Linked DNA regions of Arabidopsis thaliana. The protein of the gene in region 2 interacts with the protein of the main gene of each other region in a biochemical or structural test. Each region holds a gene or a part of one and is shown on either strand. Other genes may lie near its edges.

Region 1 (6,420 bases), 440 kb from region 2:
AAATCAACCTCCTTTGAAAAAAACCCAAGCGCAAATGCCACTAGACTACCACCCAGTCACCCACTTGATTTTAGACTTTTTAGTGTTTGTGGTTGCATCTTTTTTGGTAAATCTGGCTGTCTCGCCAATTTTGCTTTGCTCTAGTGATCCAATCAAAATAATTTCTGATTCTCTTTCTTTTAGAAATAATTTTTCCGAACATAAAAGTTTAAGAAATTTAACTTTAATAACGAAATTCATTATGTATAAAATAATTCTCGTGAAATTGTAAGAACTAAGAAGCATATCAAATGCTTATCTTTGATCAAAAAAAAATAAAAAATGCTTATCTTTTGTTGTATCAGATAGAAAGTGAAAATATTTAAAGAAGTGTACAAACAAGGACATAATCTTTTTTCTAGTGTGTCAAGTACTGACTCAAATTAAAGAACACAGCGAATTTCACGGCTTAGGGCTTCGGGTACTTATATAGTACTAATGATTATTTTCCAAGATCCTATATTTGCCAACTCACGTTTTAATGTATACCTAAATAATTTGTTTAAAAAAATAATTAATTCAGTTCTTTTGTTTGTTTAATTATCAATAATCATCTAGAGATTCAGACGTAACATATTCTATAATTATTTTATTTTTCAGAACCTTATCTCTTTGTTGAAGATACAAATATAAACGTACGACAAAATCGACCTATATCTACTACACAATAAACATATGAGAACCGAAATGAATGATGTTGTCATGTGTCGCTATCGCTCCATGTATCGCTTTCGCCTTCTCCATCGTCGCTTGCTACAGCCTGATATAACAAGTCCGAAATGTAAGTGCTTTAATGACCAAAATGGTACTTGCAAACTGAAACGTAAGATTATAAATGTGAATAATGTATGGAACCTGTCGGATAGAGTTTGCCTTCTCTAGAATCACGCTAATATTGGTGTTCATTGTAGTTTCTGATGATGATGTCTTTGTCCTGACCACACGTCTCAAGTTGAATTGCTGTTATGATTCAAAAGGTTGTTGTTGGTTAAGAAAAATGCATTTTATGACTTTGTGGAAACAGAAATGAGAATTGGAGGATCAAAAAATCATTTCTCCCATTTCATTCCTATACAAACGAAACTAAAAACATGTTCAAAATATATTTCCATTTCGATTAAGAGGGAACCGGGACAAAAATGAAATACGAAAACAAATGTATATATTTTTAGTTTTAAGGGTTTGAGTTTTTTTTTTTTTTAATTATCGATTATGTAAATATGTTCCTTAATAAAGGTTACTTTGAATTAATAGAATAGGGAATGCATTTTCATATACCACAGAAATTTTCTATATAGCTAAAATATAAAGCAAGAATAAAAGACTCACTTTAGTTCGAATTTGATGCAAGAAGTCTCCAGCTTCTGTCTCATTTGTGTTGCCATGACTTTGCTTATAATCCCTCACATTGTTCTTCAGATGTACCTATCAACCATCACATAAAATACCTTATACCAAAAAGATGAAAAAAAAAAAACAGTAAAAAGGAGAAGAAAACTTAATTCTCCATACCTTGGTTACAAGTTTAGGATCAGAAACAGTGACAATGTGTGGTTCTTTTTTCTTGACTGCAGTTAAAGAATTGTTGTTCTTCTCAAATGCCTGTGTGAGAGCATCCTTTAGAGACTGCTTGTTGTTATCCTCGAATCCAGCTGACGGTATTTTCGAAACCATCCACTGTAACGGTGGGAGAGGCGGTGGTAATGGCTCAGCTGGATTTTGGAGGTAAGAGACATTTTCAACTAAACAACCATTTGTTGTTTCAATCTTTGGAAATGGAACTGGTAGAGAAGAAGCTTCAGCATTGACTCTGTGAAACGAATCATAGAGCTCTTGTTGCCTCTTGCTTTCTCGGATACCTTCTGATTCTTCTTCCCACTGTTGCTCAGACATTGACACAGAGCGATTGTCATTGTCACTGTTGTCTGAAATGTAAGAAGAAGATCTACAGAAAGTGTCCTTGTCTGAATCAGAATCAGGAAGTGAAGTAGCAATAGTCTCTGGCACCAACTGAAACGAAGAAAATGTATATTCATCTGGAAGTTTTAGCTGTAGTTCAGAACTTGGCAAGGTTTCTGAGGATTTGAAAGATATTTTCATGTGATCAAGTGGAGGAGATGAAGTAAACCAATCAAAAGGAGCCTTATAATCTTCTCTTAAGTGCTCTTGGAAGGTTTCAGAATCAATGTCTTCAACAATCTCTGGAATAGTTTCTGCTATAATTTTCGGTTTCGATGGTTTCAGTCCTAGGAGATTTCCATTAGTCCATGTTTTAATGGATTCAGTGTCACAAGAACTCTCAACTTCTTCTGATTCTTGATGTTCTTGGATACCACTAATATCATACAAAGGATTTGAGAAGCCATTGGAATAACTATGAGTGCCACTACTTATTTCCGAAGCCGCCCATGGATCTTGATGAATCAGTTCATCAGATTTATATACCGGTGATGATGATAAATGTAGCTCTGATGTAGCAGCACATTTTGTCTCATCAACACTAAAGTTGTTAGAAATCTTCTCTGTTTCTTGCTCTGTAATATCATTGTAAAGATTCTTCTGCACCTCTTTAGTGGCTTGGAAAGCTTCATCATTTTCAGATTCTGAATCGATGGTGTAAAGTGCATCAACAAAATCATCCCCTTCGCTTTCAGTCTCATCCTCATTGTCCATTTCCAGTTCCTTCGGTTTGATATCTTGGACCGCTTCAACCGCTGAATGTTCTTTAAGTCTTGATACCGGTTCAGCATCCAAGACAAAGTTAGTTTCCATTACTTCAGGAGCTTCATCTGTTGCACACTGCAGAACATTGCATTCCACTATCTCAGCTTTCTCGTGCCAACTAACACTAGAAGAACCACGAGCTGTTAAATCTTGAGAAGGACTATCACTTTCACTTTCACTTTCAGAAAGAACTGAAGCAATGGTGCGAGAACCCGGTGTAAACCTTGAAGAAGAAGATACCCTCTTCGGTTTCTCTCCACCACTTCTTGAATCGAAAGAGAAAGAACGATGCTCTTGCAAGTCGGATTTCGACTCAATTTCAATCGTTGAAGCAGTTTTAGAGGTAGAGGTTCGTCCACTGAAGCTTAAAGAAGTACATGTCTTCCTGAACATCATATCATATATTCATGTTTTGAGTCATATATGAAAACATCTCTACAATGTCAAATCCAAATGTCATTACCTGTCACTCTGGTTAGCCACAGAGGCAAGTCTTGATATATCTCGACCGCGTTGTATAGATTTTTTCTTCTGCATCATCCATACAAGTTTAGGTAGCAAACAAGAAAAAGAAGAAACTCTACAAAACATGGTATTAACAGACTGAATCTCTAAAACAAACCTTAATCTCTGAAGGTTTAGAAGCTCTTGATGCTCTTTTGAAATGAGTAGGATCCGAGTATCGTTTCAAACAAGAACCTGGACCATTTATATCAAATCTGACAAAAACCGCTAAGAATCAGCATCATATTTATTATCATCAGTCTAAAACATAGCAGAAACAGTAATAACAAAAAAGAAAATGAGAGTTAAAAGGTGTATATACTTGTCAAGCAAGTGTAACCGCGGAGGTTCCCGGCAATCTTCATATGGAGTCATAATAAACGGTGGCAATTCGTCATACATAAAGTGATTTTGCACATTTGGTATACGAGGATGCCACTCCAGACCTAAAACAGCATGTAAACACTATGTTCATTAACTATACTTAAATTTTCTAAAGAACTCAAATAGTGAAAGATCATGACTTATTTAATTAAGATCCATAAGAAAGACTACTAGTATCATTCATCATCAAATTCTAAACTCAAAAAAGAGTATTTTAAGCTAAGAAGTTAGTGCAAAAGGCATGTGAGCTAGGGCCTACAATAAACTCAACAGGATATAAATTTTTGATTAAAGAACAAACATGTGAATCTAGACATTAAAGAAGATTGACAAGAGAAACAAGACAAAAGAAACCTCCAGTGTATGCAAAATGAATGTGATTTGTTTGTGCAAGCACTGTCTTTTGGATTGTAGGAACTTTAGCTTCTATTTGCTTCAATCTCATCTTCAATTTGTTGCTTCTTGATGCTGTTATCATTACCTCCTCTTGTATTCCATGGAATATCTCTGCTGCGAATCTGAAACAATGTGAGTTTAACATAAAAACTCAGGACAAGTAAGATTGGCTGAGAACCATAAAATAAGCAAATGAAGAAGACCAAACACAGCAAAATTAAAGATTTTACAGAGAATCAAAGAAGATCACTGACTCCATATTGTCACATTTTTACTTAAGATTTTTTTTTTTTTAAAAACATTTATAAGTCAATTATAAAAAAAAAGAAACAGAGGAAACAGAGTTGACTTAAAGTACTACTTACTCTGTGAGATCACCGAGTTGACGCAAGATCCCGACGAGTCCAGAAACGGCGACGTCGTCGAGAATCGCTTTAGGGTCTTCACGGTCGACTTTTGTGTGAAGCTCTTTTTGCCCTAAACCGTAGACATTCCTAACTTGGAGCCTAACAAGCGGCATTTGCTCTGTTCTTGAGAAAGATTCCGGAGGAATGATCAGATGGGTTTTGAAGATAAGAAACAAAGATTGAGTTTTTGTGGGTTATGTTGCTTGAGGTGGGTGAGAGATTATGGCAGCTTAACCGCCGAAACGAGAGAGAGAGGGAAAATTTGGAGATTACAAAAAGGTTTTTCGTTGTAAAAAGAGAAAAGAGAGACTCGGAGACATTGCTAACACCGCAAGCCATTCCCTTTTTCAATGTCATCATTTTAACTAAAAGTGCTAAGAGAAAATTACGAAAAAGGGCTTGGAGCAAAAAGAAAGGTACCCATAACCTACCCATATGGAGCGAATCATGATCCAAATTAGTCATTTGTTACTTACATAATTTCCCGAAAATAAACTTTAGTTTTTATAAGAATTTGTTAGTGCTAAACATAAATTATTTAAAAAGAACTATAAACATTTTTAGTCATGTGTATAACCCCTACTTGTAATACTATATTTGTATGCTTAAGTCATCTAATGAGAACTTACTCTGCTTAATCTTCTACTACTAGCTACTAAAACAAAAAACTTCTACTACTTGTAATATTATATCATATACATTTTGCACAAATATGGAGTATAAAACTAGAAGTTAAAGTTTGGATCATTGAATGAGCATTTGAAGACTTCTATTATAAAATAGAAATGCGTTACAGTTTAGATAGCGTTAAAGTTTGAATCATTGAATGAGAATTTGGTCGTTTGCGAGGAAATAGACTTGTTGAGTTGGCTACATATTTATTGGAGAACAAAACTCCCATAAATGAGGCATCAATACATACGTAACACTTGTACTCAAACTCTATAGCTGTGATTTGTTTTTGTTTTTGACACCAACTATATATGAATGATGATGGTACAATTCAAAGATTTTCATAATGAATCTAGTAAAGCGGAAGTGTATGTATTGCCGTAATGGTGTGCCTCTCGCATCCTTGATCTATACAATCAAGTTTGATGTTACAAGAGTTGCATAATATCTTCCATCTACACACGCTGCGTAGTGTGTGCGCGTGTGGGTGAATGTATTCATACATCTATATCTTACACTACTTGAGGACTTGCACACATGCATGTGGATGTGTGACTTACTCCATCCTCGTTTAGGCATATATACACAATAATAAATCATGCACAAGCATTTTAGATCTGTGCTTCTAGAGTTTTGGATCTGGCTCCCATTAACCAAAGCAATTTATCAACTCGAATTCTTTTGTCGTTTTTCTTGATACTAACATATAAATACATTTTATTTATAAACTACAGTTCAGACATATGGATCGAAGATCCACAGTACTACTCCAGTACTCCATACAAGCTAATACACAGTATTAGAAGTAATCAATTCTTATGGTCCTTGGTAGGTATAGTATTATTAAATAAGTGATGCGATTAGATCAATGCATGACTTTTAGCTGGTCGTCTATTTATGGATGCTACCTAAACATAAATTTAATCACATGTCATTTATTATTTATTATTACTCCTAAATTGTTCTGTCCATTAAATATTTTATAAGTTGTTACTTGCTACTCCTATCAACCATTAATGGTAATCTTTGACGCAGATTCTATGAGCTATACTATTGCATTGTTTTCCATCATATATTATCAATCACAAGTAACTCTTCACAAAAAATGGCGGTCAATAAAGTGACACTTACAAAACTCAATGGTTTAAATAAAAACTACAACATTGCTGAAAAATATACATAAATTTTAAACACGAAATTGGTTAACAAAACAAAATTGGCGGTCATCTCATGTTTTTTTTTATATCATAGTAAATCTCGAAATGTGCTTTGATTAAAGATCAGACCATCGAAT
Region 2 (7,694 bases):
AAAAGACGAAAACTAAAATGTTTGGCCATGTGATTTAAACTTCACAAAGCATGCATGATTTTATATAGACATCATGCCATCCCTAGTTGCGTATCCAAATTTAAAAGGGTTACTCTTATAGTATTGATACGACCAATTTATGAAAATGTGTCACACAATCACTTTGTTATGAGTTAATTTAGAGGTGTTAAGTAATTGTATATAATTTCACTTATGACACAAATTCGTCAATTCTCATGAATTTTACATTATAAAATGATTTTTTTTTTTCAATGATCTTGCTACATGAACATACTAATGACTTATTGCATGGGTCGGACCTTTTGTATAAGCCAAGGTTTGACTTTTCATGACCGATTCACATCACCGCATTTTGATTCTAACATTTAATTATATAAAGTAGAAGCTAAGAAACCGTAAGACATATCTACATCACTGATACAAATTCTTCTTGAGGAGTGTTCCAAGGCAAGCATAATAATACAAAGTTGCTTTCCAAATGATGAACCCTACTTTTAATAAATTGTTCTCTCTCTATATGTAACTCCCACTAAAGAACATAGACGGCAAATTTGTTTTTATTGATTCACGAAGCTATAAGATCTTTTGTAATGTCTACTAGAATCACGCAGCGAGTACCAGAACTTTGATGGTTCCTTGACTATTCGCAGTCAACATCGTGGGACTATCACTCTTCCAGCAAACCGCACTAATAAAGTAGGAACCTGCCTCTTCCTCTGCATCGTCCATGTCTGGCGATCCAAATCTGTGCGATGTCACGGGTCTCGTGATTTCCTGCATCGCATCATTCACATTTTAAAATACTTGAGCAACGACAGGTTGAAAATCTGTGAATCATGAATGAAAAATGCTAAAGTTGAGAGCAGAGGTTTCGGATTTGTGAACCTTGTGATATACATATACTTCGTTTGTCTCGCTTCCACAGGCGAGATACTCGCTGTTCACTGTGAGACCCACAAAGTTCTTCTCGTTAGTATGTCCTCTGAATGTTCGAACCTGAAAAGTAAAATTGAACAACATAGTCAAGACAAGTTTTTCTTTTTGACTGAATCTGCAAGATTGGCTCGGGCAGTAATCTAACTGGCAAGTTGTCTTTGACATCCCATAAGCGTAGTGTGCTATCTGTGGACGCAGAAGCGAGCTCGTTGTTGGACAAAAATTTAACATAGGAAACTGCTTTCTTGTGTCCACTGAAGACATGAAGTGGTTGGCTTATGTTTCTTAGATCGTAATAATGGATGTGATGATCAGCTGATCCGACCTGTGATAAGTCAACAGGCTTAAACGTCTAAGTCTCTCTATCTAATTAAAGATTATATCTAGAGACGTGTGATAGTGTCATGCTGATCATGAGTGGTAGCGAATAAATGTGAGATGCAAAGTTGAGGCGTGGAAGTATATACCGCAATGTAGTTGCTTGAGCCAGGATTGTACTTGACACAACATATGTTTGCTTTCATATCAATATTAATCACACTTGCTTCCTGCCTCGTGCACCAAACTTTAACCTGGATCAAACACACAGCACAATTGGTTAATCTATGAGACATGATTTAACAGATGCAATAATGCATGGTTGAGGATTAACTAGTAGTGAATTGACTTAAAAGGAGCCCACTGGTATAATATGCTTTTGTCAGAATTAGAAATCCAGTGAATTTTTCAATAACGTTTAATTAAATTTGGACAAATGAAGCTACAAAATTTCAAGGTAAAATCTACTATATACAAGTGTCCAGTTTCGTTTGTTTCCTAATGTATAGCCACCACAGATACACTAAGGGGAAAATTTTGCTGAAAATTTAAGAAACCAACAAACATTCAATGTAGGAAGGGCTACATATGACCAATCCCCAAGTTGGGAAGAACAACTCAAAGAAAAGTTTAAGAAGTAGTAGAAAAGATTCATGAGAACACAATGTACTAATGAGCAAGTAGGAGATTCTCCAGTTTTGTTTCACAATATGTCTCTTTAGTTCGTCGTAGAAATTAGACAAATCCGTGACCAAGTTAGTTATAAGAGCTAGGAGATATCTAAAAGTAGTATTCTTTTTATATGAGACATAGCCCAATGTGAGATGAAAGGTGATAACGGAAAATATGGAGATATTTACCTTGCAGTCGTCACTACCAGATACAAGCATTGATGGTTCTGTTCGTGAAAAGTCAACACTCCAGGCACGTTTTTCGTGCTCTTCATACTCCATAAGACTCTGCCTCAGTTTACATAAAAATTCAAATACGCTGCAGAATTCATGAGATGAATATCTTATAGGTGCGATGTTAGATACTTTGGGTAAAGTACTCACCTGCCTAGTAGTTACATCCCACACTGTTACTATTCCTTCATAATCACTGCTTGCTATGTGATTTTTTTCATGCTTATTCCAACTCAAGCAACTAAGTTTAGACCGAGTTGACATCTCCACAATCGGACACTGCATATCTGCTGGTTCATTTACAACCTGAAAAGTAGCAGCCGATAATCAATCAGTTCAGCGTGGTCCATTGGATAAAACAGAAAATTAAAACCAAAAATTTGATTAGCTTTGATTTATATTCTTCTACGCAATACAAAAGTGTAAAATGGCTATCTTGCATCAAAGCTAGAATTTCCCAAGAGCATAACTTAGTTTCATTATCAACGAAGCTTTCTTAGAATTGAGATGCATGATCAGTTTCACAAAAGCATAAGGTTGGACAAGAAGATTCAATTGGTATGTAATTGAATGCACTCCAAGATTTATGAACGTACCGAAGAGAAGTCAAAAACCTTTATACATCTAGAAACACCAGCAGTGGCAAACAGCTCATCATCACGATCAAACTCTATGCTGAAAAGGAACAGCACCCTCTTCATCAGCAAAATCAGTAAGATGGTACATCAAATTACAGGTAAACTAGAGGTCCAGGCAAAGCATAAAGCATGTAAACTATGGAAGACCATAAACCAAAGCACATAGAGAGAAAAAGATATGAGCCCCGGAGCTCCCAGACCATAAACTAAAAATATATATCTTTCGTCTCTTCATTGAGAAGAGACACTTTCATATAAAAGATCGCAAACCGATTCTATATATTCCGACATGGATAAGGATAACATAGTGTTCCATCTTTTAGAAAATTCTCCTCAAGTGGCCTGCTGACTACACAACCTTCTCCCTACCATGTCAGCAGTTTTATCTTCATACTATTCACTGGCTTAGAATTACACAGCAACGAATCCCATAGTAATAATTGCGTCTATCAATACATTAAACAAAACTTAATCACTTAAGGGTCTATTTTGATATATTCGGAGACATTCTTTTGGTACCTATCATCTGTTATCTGATCAACGAACAAGGAATAGAAAATTCACCTTGATACAATGTTGGCTGAATGAAATATATCCCCATGCCGGATTTCTGCTATAACTCTTAGACGACTGTGAATAAAGAGTGCAATTAAAACCCCAACTAATTCGAAAACACTCTTTATGTACGGCTAGACCGATTGAAAAGGGATAGTCACTCCTCTACCTGTAGCGAGTGAAGGTAGTCAACACAGATTGAAAATCTGCAAGGCCGTTGCTATAGCCTTCCCTCCGTACTACACTCTTATCATTTTCTTGTTTACTATTTGGTTGGTCTGCCAACTGACGCCGCTTTTGGAGGTAACATTCTTGTAAATCATTGAACTACAAGACAAGACACTTTAACAGAATTAGGCAATCTGTGCATATATCAACAAGCAGTTACAGAGAGATTAAAGGACCATGCAGGTTTTTTCAAGAAAACTACTATAATTGTGATTGCATAGTATTCACAGAACTGTTAGTGTGTCTAGAGAACATAGTGACTTTTTGTTGCTATAGTACCAGAGAGACAAGAAGCGGCTACTATCACTAAGCAGTAGATATAAAGTCCAGAAAGCTATTTCTACTTTTACGTGCAAACAATACGAAATCAATCTCTCTGAAGTCCAATCGGCTTTTTATAAAGACCACCAAAAATGTGGGCCTTAATCTAAGGTATCTTTTCCGTAAGAAGATTCATCCTCTACCCACAACCACTTTCAATTTCTCGAGCTGTCAATCCAGATGACCAAGAGCTGAGTAGCTAGGCATGGTAGTAACTGTAACACAATCACTGGGGCCTAATTGTAGTAATTATTCTTATTCTTTAATAGACAAATATCTTAAACTTTAATGCCATTGTCCTTTTACCATTTCAGCATAAAGATGTTGAGTAGACAAGGAGGAACAAACCTGAGCATGAATCCGTTTCTTTCTAGCCATTGAGACAGTTGACTGATTCAAACTTTGCGAATCTGACCCACTCAGCGCATCCTTCTTTGGTAGCCCATGAGAGCTTCCTTGTGCCTTCCCCTCTACCTTTTTGTTTTGATAATTGCCTACAAAATTTCCTCCTCTTATGCTGAGAGAATTGGAGTTGAAACCAATCTGGTTCTTCTCATGTGGCCATGCATTTCTTGTGCTTGGATCATCTCCGAGCATCCGCAACTTTACAGAATATCTGTCCCTAGCTCGGTATAAATCTATTCTATGTCTCTCAACGGCATTTATATCTTCTTTAATATACTGGAGATCAGTTTGCACCTACATTAAGATAGAGAAGACATAAATGACAGAATTCTATAATATTCTGAGATCTCATCTAACATTCAGGGGTTATACGTCTCATGAATAGTTGGATAGATCATACATCTATTGATAGAAACATGGTTTATGGCTTTCTTTTACAACAACTATACAGTCTAAACCCAGTGAAGATTTTGAAGCAAATGGAATGAAGAGCAACGAGAATAATTATCAATAGGTAGCCCAATGCTACTCCATAATTCAGACAAACCAACCTCATTTAGTTCATCAACTTTTTGCTTCCTTAGACAATGCAAAAAGTCCAAAAGTATCTGCATGTTCCTCTCAGCTTCTTCCTGTTCCATTTTTCTCTTCCTTTCCGCAAGAAGTGTCAGAAGATTATCAACCTCCTTAATTGACACATCACAACCCTGTCTAAGTATGAACGCAGGAAGTCAATATTTGATCAAAAGAAATGACTTAGAATTGCTTTTTACTCCAATAATAATTCTGAGAAAGCAAACTTAAAGAGGAAAAAATGAAACATAAAAAGCTTGTTAAGAACCGACCCTTTGTAGTGCTTCCCGAAACTGATCCAAGGGCGATGCAGTTTTTGACACATGCCGAGCTGAAGTTTTCTTCAATAGCTACACAATTGATACATAAACGTCATATAATAAGCTGCATTCCAGTGATAAATAGTTTCAATACACTATCATTCCTATAAACATGCTTCTATTTAGCTGTAATAAGCAGAATCCTACCACAATACTACACATCAAAAACAAAACAAAACCTTCCTAAGAAAATCTAATGGCAAGGTTCATTGGAATCGATTAAAGACTAAGCTAGCTTACTTGTTTCCACAAAAACCACGACAAAAACCAAACTTGATTACAAGCTAAGACTCAAACAAGCAACACCCGAACTTGAACTGAAAAGCTAAGGACCAAACACAAATTACGAGTAAAATTAGAAAAAGAAACCTTATCGAGCAAGAAATTAGGGTAAAGCTGATTATTGGTGAGGTGTTGGCTACAACAGGGACAATCACTCTTGTTCCTAAGATGTGTGATGATACACATATAGCAGAAACTATGACCACAAGCCGTGAGGAAAGCATCTTTAATAATCTGCATACAAATCGGACAAAGCAAGTCTTTATCCAGATCCGGTGCTCCAATCTCAGAACCGCCGCTTCCTCCGTCGTCATTTTCATGACGATTAGCACCTTCACCAACTGAAGATGTTCTCGGGTCAGGTTTCACCGCTGGAACAACCGGATCCGTCGAAATCTCTTCCATTTTGCTTTCAAAAGATTTCTTCGATTGTGATTTTGGTTTTTGAGAAAATCGGAATTGTGAGAAAAGAGTGGTTTGGGTATGACGTCGGAGATGAAGGAGGAGTGAGGCTGAGGTGTGGTGGGATCCACCGTGGTTCTTTTCTGAGGTGACAAATCCTACACGTTCTGGTCTACGCGCTTCTTTTCGCGCGTGTGTCTGGCGTTTCTCCAAGCGCTGGTACGGTTTAATTATCCGGCTTCTAATTTATAGTCCGGTTCAATGAAATTTCTTACAATTACCACGACGGTCTAATTTAATTTCTTACAACCATTCATTTTATTTCTTACTATTTGAAATGAATAAGTTGGGAATTTCAATCCATTCAACCGGAGCATAACCCTAGAAATAGAATAAGTTTTGAAGGATTCGGTTTAATAATTTTGGAATAAACCATTTTTATTTCAGTTCTTAAATTTTGTTACTGTAAAAAATGACTGAAAAGTGAAATATATTTTAATTTTCCCATCACTGGAAACGTTCCCTCCATTCTTTTGCTTGTCTGGGAAACCCAAAGAGACTGTGACGGAGAAGAGAAATGAGCTAAATAAATTCCTCTCTTTGATTCACCGGAACCCTAGAAATCCTCTTCTTAATTCTTTCAAAGGTGCGCTGTTTTCACTAGATATCGCTGTTGTAATTGTTGTTGATTCGGAGCTAGGTTTTGTTTTTGTCTCTCTTTCGGAGAATTTGCATGAAGCTAGGATTTGTCTGTTGATAGTTGTATGGTTTTGGCTGCGTTGTTTCTCTCTTGAAAGTCTTGTTATGCTACTGTATGACACACTCGAATGAGTTTTTGTTTGTGTAATGTTTCTCAATTTTGAAGGCGACCAACAGTTAAAGGTGCCATTTTTTTTCCAGATTAAGTTTGTTCCTCATCTGAAATTTATACCATTTCTCGCGATTTAGCAGGATATGCCCAGAAATTAAAATCTTAGAACGACAATGGTGGTAAAGTTTTTAGCTTTTTACCTTTTGGAGTTGTCTTCTTAATTTGGTGTTTTTCTTTTCTTTCTTAGTCTCCTGAGCATTGTGTTTTGGACTGGTTTTTGCACACTGTAACCAACCTCCACTTTTCTCTCTTGCAGATTATTTTCCCCTGGAAGGATGGAGACATCTTCATCTCTGCCACTGTCACCCATAAGTATAGAACCAGAACAGCCCAGCCATCGAGATTATGACATCACAACTAGACGTGGGGTTGGAACCACAGGCAACCCAATAGAATTGTGCACCAATCACTTTAATGTTTCTGTGAGACAGCCGGATGTAGTATTTTACCAGTACACTGTAAGATTCATTAGTCACTTTTCTGCATTCTTTCATCAGTGTCTGTGCGTGTGTGAGATGTTTGACATATCGGTACCTTTTTTGCAGGTTAGTATCACCACAGAAAACGGTGATGCTGTTGATGGGACAGGAATAAGCAGAAAGCTTATGGACCAACTATTCAAGACTTACTCTTCTGATCTTGATGGTAAAAGGTTGGCATATGATGGAGAGAAGACTTTATATACTGTTGGTCCTCTACCACAGAACGAATTTGACTTTCTAGTCATCGTGGAAGGGTCATTTTCAAAACGGTATGTCCCTCTTATCTGGATTGATATTTAATCGTTTCAAGGTGTCAAGATAGATCTTGTTGATCTTCTAACTAACGCAGTCTTGTTAAGTTTATAGTGATTGTGGTGTCTCTGATGGTGGTAGTTCTTCCGGTACTTGCAAGCGATCAAAACGTTCTTTCTTGCCAA
Region 3 (3,921 bases), on a different chromosome or scaffold from region 2:
AGAACTTCATTGATTATGCTCTCCAGATCTTTGCTACTCTTGTCGAAGAATCATTAGCCAATGTAAGCTAAAATCCCCCTCTATGTTTTCCGCATTTTTATATTTATAGACTTTCTGATTCATAATGTTGTGGTTACAGGTTTATGGTAATAAGCTTGGTTCCTTTGCGACCAACTTTGAGCAAACATTCAGCAGTACTCTAAAGATCCTTAAATTGACCAATGAATGTGCAAATCCACATCAGTCAAACAATAATGATGGTGGGAGTTGTAATTTAGATCGCTCTACCATAGACGGATGCTCAGACACCGAGCTATTTGAGAGGGAGACTTCATCTGCTACGTCTGCTTATGAAGTGATGCAAGGCAGTGCAACAGCAACCTCTTTGATGAATGAGCTTGCCCTTTTCGAAGAGACTCTACAACTCTCTTGTGTCCCTCCTAGAAGTTCAGCAATGGCTTTGACCACAGACGAAAGGTTTTTAAAAGAGCAAACACGAGCAAACGACCTAAAGACCGTGGAGATTGGTCTTCAAATAAGAGAGTTAAGGTGCAAAGAGACGGCGCTAGGATTAAAATTTGAATCAAACAACCTGGGGAAAGCGGCGCTAGAGTTGGATGTTTCGAAAGCTGCATTCAGAGCGGAGAAATTCAAAACCGAATTAGAAGATACAAGAAAAGAAGAGATGGTCACAAGAATCATGGATTGGCTCCTCGTAAGTGTCTTCAGCATGTTGGCTTCTATGGTACTTGGCGTTTACAATTTTTCAATAAAGAGAATCGAGGATGCTACCTCAGTATGCGACCAATCCGAGGAGAAAAGTTCGTCGTGGTGGGTTCCTAAACAAGTTTCATCGATTAACTCAGGCTTCAACACCTTCATCTGCCGGGTTCGAGTTTGGGTGCAGATATTTTTCGGTGTGTTAATGATCATTGTCTTCACTTACTTTCTAAACAAACGATCATCAGGTACGAAGCAGACAATGCCGATAAGTTTCATCGTTCTTTTCCTCGGTATATTTTGCGGTGTATCGGGTAAATTGTGTGTGGACACATTGGGCGGTGATGGCAAACTCTGGCTAATAGTTTGGGAAGTGTTTTGCCTTTTGCAATTCGTTGCAAATGTCTTCACATTGGCTTTGTATGGTCTAATGTTCGGTCCTATAAACGTGACTCAAGAGACCAGATCGAACCGTTGTAACAGTATGTTTCCATATTGGGCAAGGCGCAGTGTCGTGTATGTGGTGATTCTGTTTGTTCTTCCAGTCATAAACGGTCTTTTGCCATTTGCAACATTTGGTGAATGGAGAGACTTCGCTATGTATCACCTTCATGGTGGGTCTGACTATGCTTGAGACGAGGAGGCCATCTTTGTATTGTAATTTATTGTAACGATTTGGGTTTTTTAATCTTATTTTATTTTATGGGTGCTGTTGAAACAATTGTATCGCTATTACAAAGTTATGTATTCGAGTTATATGTTTGTATTGTTGTCAAAAGAAATTAAAATTATGCTTTTCGATATGACAAAATTTCATGGGTCAAATGGTACTTTATCTTATCAAGTTTTTGGATAAAAGTGCAAGTCAGTTTTGATTTGGAAGCTGGTTTAAATTGGATTGAACAATTTGATTTTTATGTTTGACAGCAATTGAACAGTTTGATTAAATTGTAAGTATTATGAATTTATGATGATGGTGATATCATATATAGAAGAAAATATTATGATATTGTGGGTGGGTCAAGTGGGTAAATGAGCAGGATTCTCTAATGTCTTAAAAATTCGATAATAATAATACAGAGAGACCTTTTTCTTTTATTTTCTCCATCCTCTTAATCGGCTTATCGGATCCGAATCCGGACCCGAAAGCCTGAAAACCCGACGATTAATTGCACGATGTCCGATGCTCCGTCGTCTTCCCCGGATGCCACGGCGTCGCACTGGTGCTATCACTGCAACAAACGCGTCGTCGTTGAAACCTTAGATGACTTTGTCGTGTGCTGCGAATGTAACAAAGGTTTCGTCGAGTCAATTCAACCGACTCCCGCCGCTTATTCATCGCCGGCGCCACCGCAGCCACTTTCCCCAGATCTGAATGTAGAAGACTCCAGTATTGGCTCGCATTTCCTCCAGATGCTCCGCTTGTTAGCCCACGCGCCTTCTCAGCGTTCACCACCACGACACCTTGATGTTTTATCTTACGAAGATGATTTCTTCAGGTTGGAGCTCAATAGTAGAAACGAAATCGACGATGACGAAGACGAAGATGAAGATGATGGAGATGAAGAAGAAGAGGATGAGGAAGAGAATTTAACCGTCAACGACGAAGAAGACGAAGAAGATGATCTGAGGAGGAGAAATCGTTTTCCTCTCACGACGACGCAGTCGAGAACCGGAAGAAACAGAATTCTCGATTGGGCTGAGATTTTGATGGGAATCGAAGACAATTCGATTGAGTTCCGTATGGAATCAGATCGATACGCAGGAAATCCGGCTGATTACATAGACGATGCAGCCGGATACGAAGCTTTGCTACAGAATTTAGCAGAAGGAGATGGTGGTGGTGGCGGAGGAAGGAGAGGCGCACCACCGGCTGCGAAATCGGCAATAGAGGCATTGGAGACTTTCGAGGTTAGTTCTTCGGAGGGAGAGATGGTTATGGTTTGTGCTGTGTGTAAAGATGGAATGGTGATGGGAGAAACTGGTAAGAAGTTACCGTGTGGACATTGTTACCACGGAGATTGTATTGTGCCATGGTTAGGAACAAGGAACTCTTGTCCTGTCTGTAGATTCCAGCTTGAGACTGATGATGCTGAATATGAGGAAGAGAGGAAAAAAAGAACTTCTACCGTGTCAGATTCTGCTGCTGCTTCTTCTTCTTCTTCAACTTCTCGTTACTGAAGTGGAGGAAATGCCCCCATTTGTTGTTACTTTTGTTGTTACTCTTTCTCTTTAGATTAATCTTTGCTTAGTCTCTCAACACTATTTGGTTGGTTGCATGTTGCATCAAAGAAGCGAGAAAACAGAGAACAAAAAAAAAAAATCCGGCTCCAAAAAGACAATTGTTATTTGTAAGTGTGTTGTATCTTTGGCCTAAACAATCCCATAGTGGTTTCTTTGATTCTCAGTTGTTCATAAAGTTTGCCGAAACAAAAAGGTTCCTGGGTTTAGGAGAAACGGTTACAGGACTTCGTGAGCCTTCCCGAAGTACCTGTTTATGAACGGGGACTGCACAGAGACCAACAAACTTATATCAGATTTTGGCAATAATATTCAGAGTTCCATTGACAAACTAAGTTGGATTTGTTTTGTACCTTCTCAATTCCTGCAGTGTGGGGTGTGTCTGGTGAAGGCAATGGATAAAACTTGTACAACCTCATTTCTTGATAGGCTTTTTTTGTTTCTTCGCTCAGTCCTTCCTTTGCTTTCTCTAGGGCTTCTTGTGCCTGCCAATTGTAGAATCCATTGTTAAGTATATGTGCGGCTCTGTAGCAGAGGGTATGAAACATGATACCGTGTCATAAGCTGCCATAGCTTTGTCACTTTTCTCTTTGACAAACTCCTGAAAAAAGGAAACATATGGGTGAGTGATTTTAGAGACCTCCCTCAAATGAATTCATCAAATCAATTCCAGCTCTTGCTTGCTTACCTCGAACGCAACCTTTTGTTCCGGGAGTAATACCTCCTCATTGATCAGACTGTCGGTGAATTCCTAAAATAAACTGAGATGAGAAGTAATTCAAGTAAGGTGTTTTATTGGAAAAGTCAGATACTGCACCTCAATGACGCTTTTCACCCAGTCATATTCACATTCAACCTGCACAAAGGAAAAGTAAGTTTGATTAAAAATGAAACTACCAAATTGTATTGTCGATCAGTTAAGAAAGACAAAAATAACTTACTGGTGGCTCAGAAGGGAAC

What was found.
Region 1: the proteins of COP1 (region 2) and AT2G34150 form a complex in vitro, tested with the Arabidopsis thaliana proteins (one study listed by BioGRID).
Region 3: the proteins of COP1 (region 2) and CIP8 form a complex in vitro, tested with the Arabidopsis thaliana proteins (3 studies listed by BioGRID).

The regions. Positions count from the first base shown.
Region 1 is NC_003071.7:14,418,693-14,425,112, forward strand, and holds AT2G34150 (SCAR family protein), read right to left. Parts: upstream 4,780-6,420; 5' UTR 4,568-4,779; coding exon 4,413-4,567; intron 4,170-4,412; coding exon 4,006-4,169; intron 4,000-4,005; exon of another isoform or gene 3,714-3,999; coding exon 3,590-3,713; intron 3,483-3,589; coding exon 3,386-3,482; exon of another isoform or gene 3,355-3,385; coding exon of another isoform or gene 3,295-3,354; coding exon 3,227-3,294; intron 3,149-3,226; coding exon 1,552-3,148; intron 1,465-1,551; coding exon 1,369-1,464; intron 1,000-1,368; coding exon 895-999; intron 800-894; coding exon 740-799; 3' UTR 571-739; downstream 1-570. UniProt on the Arabidopsis thaliana protein: Involved in regulation of actin and microtubule organization. Part of a WAVE complex that activates the Arp2/3 complex. Regulates trichome branch positioning and expansion.
Region 2 is NC_003071.7:13,976,213-13,983,906, reverse strand, and holds COP1 (Transducin/WD40 repeat-like superfamily protein), read right to left. Parts: upstream 6,027-7,694; 5' UTR 5,908-6,026; coding exon 5,590-5,907; intron 5,251-5,589; coding exon 5,173-5,250; intron 5,039-5,172; coding exon of another isoform or gene 5,035-5,038; coding exon 4,879-5,034; intron 4,622-4,878; coding exon 4,271-4,621; intron 3,701-4,270; coding exon 3,543-3,700; intron 3,449-3,542; coding exon 3,383-3,448; intron 2,856-3,382; coding exon 2,777-2,855; intron 2,487-2,776; coding exon 2,331-2,486; intron 2,235-2,330; coding exon 2,136-2,234; intron 1,530-2,135; coding exon 1,425-1,529; intron 1,283-1,424; coding exon 1,103-1,282; intron 1,018-1,102; coding exon 907-1,017; intron 796-906; coding exon 625-795; 3' UTR 298-624; downstream 1-297. Other genes in the region: AGO6 (Argonaute family protein), read left to right, coding at 7,051-7,233, 7,321-7,526, 7,624-7,694. UniProt on the Arabidopsis thaliana protein: E3 ubiquitin-protein ligase that acts as a repressor of photomorphogenesis and as an activator of etiolation in darkness.
Region 3 is NC_003076.8:25,943,318-25,947,238, reverse strand, and holds CIP8 (COP1-interacting protein 8), read left to right. Parts: upstream 1-1,796; 5' UTR 1,797-1,896; coding exon 1,897-2,901; 3' UTR 2,902-3,124; coding exon of another isoform or gene 3,125-3,228; 3' UTR 3,229-3,248; downstream 3,249-3,921. Other genes in the region: CPR5 protein, read left to right, coding at 27-62, 140-1,354; AT5G64910 (Serine/Threonine-kinase), read right to left, coding at 3,125-3,211, 3,315-3,446, 3,515-3,562, 3,650-3,712, 3,779-3,817, 3,903-3,921. UniProt on the Arabidopsis thaliana protein: E3 ubiquitin-protein ligase that mediates ubiquitination and subsequent proteasomal degradation of target proteins. Probably forms a minimal ubiquitin ligase complex in cooperation with the E2 enzyme UBC8.